Schizosaccharomyces pombe: one gene and its partner. The gene in region 1 interacts genetically with each later gene. Each region holds a gene or a part of one and is shown on either strand. Other genes may lie near its edges.

What was found. A genetic interaction does not mean that the proteins touch.
Region 2: of ssu72 (region 1) and cdk9, changing one suppresses a phenotype caused by changing the other (phenotypic suppression), as found in Schizosaccharomyces pombe (one study listed by BioGRID).

Annotation. Positions count from the first base shown.
Region 1 is NC_003424.3:3,175,767-3,179,328, reverse strand, and holds ssu72 (RNA polymerase II CTD phosphatase Ssu72), read left to right. Parts: upstream 1-2,067; 5' UTR 2,068-2,198; coding exon 2,199-2,281; exon of another isoform or gene 2,282-2,330; coding exon 2,331-2,841; 3' UTR 2,842-2,902; downstream 2,903-3,562. Other genes in the region: spa2 (GTPase-activating protein), read left to right, coding at 3,270-3,336, 3,423-3,551. UniProt on the Schizosaccharomyces pombe protein: Processively dephosphorylates Ser-5 of the heptad repeats YSPTSPS in the C-terminal domain of the largest RNA polymerase II subunit (rpb1).
Region 2 is NC_003423.3:1,468,568-1,472,167, forward strand, and holds the start of cdk9 (P-TEFb-associated cyclin-dependent protein kinase Cdk9), read left to right. Parts: upstream 1-2,000; 5' UTR 2,001-2,112; coding exon 2,113-2,255; exon of another isoform or gene 2,256-2,306; coding exon 2,307-2,388; exon of another isoform or gene 2,389-2,508; coding exon 2,509-3,600. Other genes in the region: wdr8 (WD repeat-containing protein), read left to right, coding at 1-320, 393-468, 508-1,520. UniProt on the Schizosaccharomyces pombe protein: Component of the positive transcription elongation factor b (P-TEFb) which consists of cdk9 and pch1, and which phosphorylates the C-terminal domain (CTD) of RNA polymerase II and spt5.

The DNA of each region.
Region 1 (3,562 bases):
AGCCGTAAACGTGTTTGGATAAGTAAAGATTTGAAATGTTTGACTGTCTAAATACTTTGACACGACTTTACAAATATAAGTGAGCAAGTACTAACTAACTGTATTTTAGCAAGTCTCTATTTCACTGCTATACATGCAAATTACTTCTGGTGCTTGTCCAGTGAATCTGTAACCAATATTAAGTTATGTGGTCAATTTTAGTTGGTGTTTACTCATCATAACTTTTTCCCTAAATGCAACATAAAATAGTGAAAGCGGAAAGTATTAGACCCCTTTTTCATTGAACTCTTACTGTTACTCGTTGGACATGAAGCGTATGTATTTACTACTTTGCACTTCAAGATGGTCTAATTTGGCGAATGGTGTAAATAATGAAAGCGCAGAATAAATAACTGCTAATGTACAAAATGTTTCCACAATGGTTTGTCATAATCGTTTGACACGAAAGCAAAGAAAATTGCGCTGTGATTAAGTCTACTCAGTTAGCTCAAGAGATCAAAAGAAATAACAGTTTTGTCAGTGTTAGTGGTTTTAATTATGATAACCGTAACAGCTTTGACATTCTTCATAGCAGACGAATAATTGAGACTATTTGATCACAATAACTAAATTAAAGCTCTATTTTGAAGCGAAAGAGAAAAAGAAATATAGACTGCTTACCGTTTATTAAGCCTGAATTGCGCGATCAGTTAACTGAAACATATGGTATATTAAAAAGGAGAAGTCTGTTTGGCGTAAAGTCCAGCGAACGAGAAAAGCTTTAGAAAAGGGGAACGAAATCACTAGATTAGGATTATACCGTGACGCTGCAAGATCATCGTCTACTTATGGGAAGAGCCGATTTGCCAGTTAGCACGTATGGTTTTTCTGACGGATTCTTTGTATATAAAACATGTGAATATGTTTCTTTTGATATAGAAATAGCATCTACGTCTTTTACTTATTGGATATGGTTTGCATGCATTATAGCAACGTAGTCCTTCTTTGCATAATATGATGTGCCTTTACATTTTCTTTTTTTTTTCTTATTTACTGACTATATTTAAGGCAAGTCACTAACTGTTTCGATTCGCAAAATTAATGAGTACTGTTGAATGTCATATTTCACTTTAAGAAGCTTACTGAGTGAACCTGATTTTTGTATTTTCTACTAACGAAAAACTGCATTAACCACACAGTAACTTTATAGCTTTTCAAGACAAAATTACATACACCGATTTTATTTAGGCTGGTCATATATTTTTCAGTATCCGCGATATCTTCAACTAAGCTAATCATTATTGTCGTAAACGTTTTACACACGATCAGACAAAATTAAAAGGTAGCTAGGGTTTTGTCTACAGTGGTACTAATTCAATAACTGAAGTTGTATCCTTTGGACAAATGCCTAAAGTCATCATTTCGCGTTGAATTAAAATTGGTTAAGTTATGCAAAATATATACTAAATCGAATTTATTGAAACAGTCACAAAGATTGAAGACCTACCCTATATAATACTCAAAACTTGGAAATCTTAAGCGATAAATGAAATGAAAGAGTATGGTATGTACGAAACTACTCTAAGTAGATCAGCTCAAAACTTAATGCTTCATACGCCAGTTTGTATGTTTGAACTTTATTCATTTTGAGATTAACAGCCAAGAATTGTTGATTGATCCAACCGCAAATTTTGTTTGACAATACAATGATTTCTCACTAATTTTATACGGCTTTTTAAAGTGCTGGCGATGAGTAGTTTTATTATTAATATTATAATAAGGAGTTTTTGAATTAGGCATAATTTTGTAAAGTTAACAATCATTAATGTAGTATGGGTAGTGGAGTATAGACGTATTTATTCAAACCCTATCTTTGAAAAATTGCTATCAGACGAATACAACGTGGAGAATTTTTATTTTTATAAAACATTTAAGATAATTAATTAAAGTAGAAATTATACTCTGCAAAGATGAGATTCATTTCAAGAGCCTCTGCTTTTGTGATGCAACATATCGATATATCGCATCGTAAAGCAGCGTGGTAATTTTGAAAGGCTGTTGCTTACAGCGTGTCATATTGTATACACTGCAAAGAACGAGTTTGGACCTTTGGCTGTATGTCTAATTTAGTAAGATAAAAATCTTGCAATAATAAAGAAAGGAAAGTAAAACCTTTTAAAGCCTTACCAACGTTAGTCAGTAAACAATAATACCAAATAATGGCTCCCAAAACCAACCTCCAGATCAGTGTAATTTGTGCTTCGAACCAAAATCGAAGTATGGAAGCTCACAACGTCTTAAAGTATGTCATTTTTGAATTTTATGAGGTAGTTTGCTAATCTCCATTGAAGGAATGCTGGATACCAAGTTGATTCGTTCGGAACAGGTTCAGCTGTACGGTTGCCGGGTCCCAGTATTGACAAACCTAACATTTATCAATTTGGGTATCCATATGATGAAATTTATAAAGAGCTCGAGGCCCAGGATTCCCGGCTATACACGGCCAATGGATTGCTTAAAATGCTTGACCGAAATCGCCGTATAAAGCGCGCTCCTTGTCGGTGGCAGGACCAAGATTCCATATACAACATTGTAATAACCTGCGAAGAAAGATGTTATGATGCCATTTGTGAGGATCTGTATCGTCGAGGTGAAACATTGAATCGACCTGTGTACTTAATAAACGTTGACATTAAAGATAACCATGAGGAGGCCAGCGTAGGTGGAAAGGCCATTCTCGATTTAGTCAACAAATTAACCGAGGCACAGGATAAATTGGAAGAGCTGTTCCCTTCTATAATGGCCGACTTTCAATCTAACCATCCTAAACTTCCTGTATTGTATACTATTCATTTTTTTTAATATCATTTATCGTTACACGTCGTTATCGAATTTAATAAAGCATGTCCTTTCTCCTAGTATATCTACAACGTTCTAAGTAATAAACACAGTAAATTGGCAAGGACGCAAAGCTGTCAGTAATATTTTTAGATAGAAGATTTCTCTTCGCACTCGTTTGCCTGTTAATGTGTTTGGCAGTACATTAGGCATTTTAAAGACTTTTTCTTTAAAAATTTAATTCACAGAAAAATTATATCAAATTAATTTAGGGTCCAGCACGTCCTTGCCCATTGTATTAGTACAACTGCCTTAAGTTAATTTACACAGTCTATCTTTTTCAAGTCAGCGTAAAAGAAAGGACATATCATTTAATTCCCTGAAAAAGATAGAAAGCTCATTTTTTCCAACTTCTTTCCTCAAATCCCTAGTCTTAAATTTGCTTTCAAACTATGCAAAGTATTATTATTCGTCAATATCGGTTTTTAGCTCGTTACTTAGAGCCTGAATTTGTTAAAGGTATGTTAAAAATTGGTTTAAAATTAAGCTGTACAATTGCTTTGACCCACGGAAACAATGTAATCACCTCTAACGCTATTTTATAGACCCAGCCCTAAGGAACGCCAATGCGAGGCCACGTGAAAAGCTTCAGCGTTTGTCTCATATTCAGTTCAGTGAACTTTTAACAGACGTTGCTGATGAACTACAGCGTAGGATCAACAATGATCCCAAAGGTATTTTGATT
Region 2 (3,600 bases), on another chromosome or scaffold:
CAAGTGTTTCACATTGTGGTAATTGGATTGCGTCTTTATCTCGCTCTGGGCATGTCTTAATTCGAAATTCTGAAACCCTCGAGCTTCACCATGTGTTCCTTCTAAACGCTCAATTCATTCAAAAGGTTGTATACTTGTTATGGAAACCCAATTTAGGAGCAGAAAAATGCCATCAAATTTGTGTTGCCTCAGTTGATAAAGTGTTTGTATTAGATATTGTACAACACGATTATTATGCTAGCATACAGTGCGACCAGGATCCTTTGAGTAGTATCAGCTGGAGCCCGTCTGGAGAACTGCTTCTCTGGTCGTCCTTTGATGTACGTTGTATCTAATAAAATTTGCACAACTTTTTGCTTATATATCTGCGATGCTAATAGCAAATTTTTTAGTCGAAGATTACTGTGTGGTCTTTAAATACCCAGAAAGGTTATTTGCTTCCACATGTAAAAACCAATGTTTCGAAAGGTATTTCTTGTCTGATATATCAATTTACTGACTGTTTAGTTTACGCTTTACATCCATCCATGCAATTCTGTACTATATTATCTCGTTTTAACGGTTCGGATTGCCTTCAATTTTACCAAATCAGCAAAAAGGCATGGATACTTCTTAAAGAGTGTAAGCTTCCTACAATAGATTCGACGGGTATCCATTGGTCGCCAGATGGAAACTGGTTAGCTGTTTTGGAAAACGTATTAGATGCAGTTGTTTATATTTATCATCGCACCGGTCTTCTTTTTCACGAATATCGACCAAATAGGTTAATTGAAGTCGGCTTTTCCGATTTTGAGTGGAGTCCCTTTGGCAAATATCTAACTTTGTGCAGTTACCATGATTCAACCTTACATCTACTTGAAACAAAAACTTTTAGTATAGTTTTTCGACTTCACCATTGTTTGCAATATACCAATACTGACTTGGAAATGCATATATGGGAAGAGAAGGAAACAATCTATGAGCAACAAATGACTTATCAAAAAGTACATAAACTCAGAACCGATTTCCCAGAACCCTCCTTTTGTTCAGCATCAAAAATACGTTTCAACTGTGATGAGACGTATGCTGCTACAATTACTTCTAAATATCCTAATGTTCTTTGGCTATGGAATTTACAGAATAAAAAACTGCACACTGTTCTTATTCAAAAACATCATATAGTGTATTTTGAATGGCATCCAGGTCGTCCCGATTTGGTGGTCATTCAAACAAAAATTAGGAAAGAATCCAAAATTCCGTCTAATGCTACATTCCTATACTTCTGGGCTTTAAGTTGGAATACACCCAGGGTCGTTGGAGTTCCAAAAAAAGGTTTTAATATTCAGAAGGTTCAATGGCTTCAACCATCAGAATTCAGTTCTCGTCCAGTTATAGTAATTTGTGGTGAAGATGCATATACCGTTGCTTACATTGTGGAAGATGAAGATGAATCATTTACCGAAGTTACTCAAACTATAATTTCTCAAGAAGTTTTAGATAATGAGTTAGAAACAACGCAAACGATTTCCATACCATCTTAAGGGATTTACTTTCTATCTTAAAAGTCTTAATTATTGTAACCATTTTTAAATATTCTTTTTATTTTACTAACGACCTAATTAATTCGCTTAATGTCTATAATATTTTAATGCACGTTCATTGTTCCCGCATGTAAAACATGAGCACCCTGAGCACCCCGTCAGCTTAAGGCCTTTGCATACCTCTTATAGTTTGAATGTCTTTTTCAGTCTATTCAACTATCTTTTTCTAAATTTAGTACGTACTATTCCTGAGTTTTAATAACTACTCTTTCCTGATTCATAAATTGTAAACTTTGCGCATTTATTTGAGATTAGGGAGTCCTTTGAAAGATATTTAAAACTAATGCAACTTTTTCCCTTTATAAAAAGCATTGTTTATTCTCTATACTTACAGTATTGTTTTCTCATTTTGAAACATAGCGCATTTTACTTCGCCTCCGTATTTAATGCATATAGTTGATAGTTGGGTCCACTTCCACTATATCCTCATCAGATGCAACATTTCGCGCATCGATCGGGTTTATACTACAATTTGTATAATTAACTTTATTCACTAATCGTTGGGATCTTTTGTATAATATAAGTTAAAAAAATGAAACGCTCAAGCAGCGTTTCTGTCGAAGATGAGAAATCAGCAAGGAGAAAATTAGATGTCGTACCCAAACTTCATTTTGTAGGGTGCAGCCATTTAACGGATTATCATTTAATGGAAAAATTAGGAGAAGGAACATTTGGGTATGTGTCAAATATCTGATTTTGAATTTTATCACTAACTTGGTTCACCAGCGAAGTTTACAAATCGCAGCGGCGTAAGGACGGGAAGGTATATGCGCTGAAAAGAATACTCATGCATACTGAAAAGGAAGGTGTAAGTAGATGTTTGTTTAGATTCTTGTTCATTTTGACAGAATGACTTGGGACGCATCGACTTGATTGCGTTAATTGTTTTAATTAATTCATGAATAAATACTAAAGCATTACATTTTAGTTTCCCATTACAGCCATTCGCGAAATAAAAATTTTAAAATCGATTAAACACGAGAATATTATTCCATTATCTGATATGACTGTTGTTCGTGCAGACAAGAAGCATCGACGTCGTGGTTCTATATATATGGTGACTCCTTATATGGATCATGACCTTTCAGGTTTATTAGAAAATCCAAGTGTAAAATTCACGGAGCCGCAAATTAAATGCTATATGAAGCAATTGTTTGCTGGAACCAAATACTTACATGATCAGCTTATCCTTCATAGAGATCTTAAAGCTGCTAATTTATTGATTGATAATCACGGGATTTTAAAAATTGCCGATTTTGGTCTCGCACGTGTGATAACGGAGGAGTCATATGCAAACAAAAATCCTGGCTTGCCTCCACCTAATCGTAGAGAATACACTGGATGTGTGGTTACACGCTGGTATAGATCACCAGAACTTTTGCTTGGCGAGCGTCGTTACACTACCGCTATTGATATGTGGAGCGTGGGATGCATCATGGCCGAAATGTATAAAGGAAGGCCAATCCTTCAAGGAAGTAGTGATTTGGACCAATTGGATAAAATCTTTCGCCTTTGTGGATCACCAACTCAAGCTACTATGCCAAATTGGGAAAAGCTTCCTGGGTGCGAAGGCGTTCGCTCTTTTCCTTCACACCCTAGAACACTTGAAACTGCATTTTTTACTTTCGGAAAGGAAATGACTTCTCTTTGCGGTGCTATTTTGACCCTTAATCCGGATGAACGTTTATCTGCTTCAATGGCTTTAGAGCATGAATATTTTACAACACCACCATATCCAGCAAACCCTTCTGAACTACAGAGCTACAGTGCTTCTCATGAGTACGACAAAAGAAGGAAAAGAGAACAGAGAGATGCTAATTCACATGCGTTTGAACAAACCGCTAATGGTAAGAGACAGTTCCGGTTCATGACTCGTGGACCTAGCGATCCGTGGTATGGAATTCGTCGGCCAAATTATAACTCACAACCGCAATACCAACGTGGTTCGTACAATCGTGAAGGCGGTAACATGGATAGAAGTCGTAATGTTAATTATCAGCCTAAGCGTCAGCAAAATTTT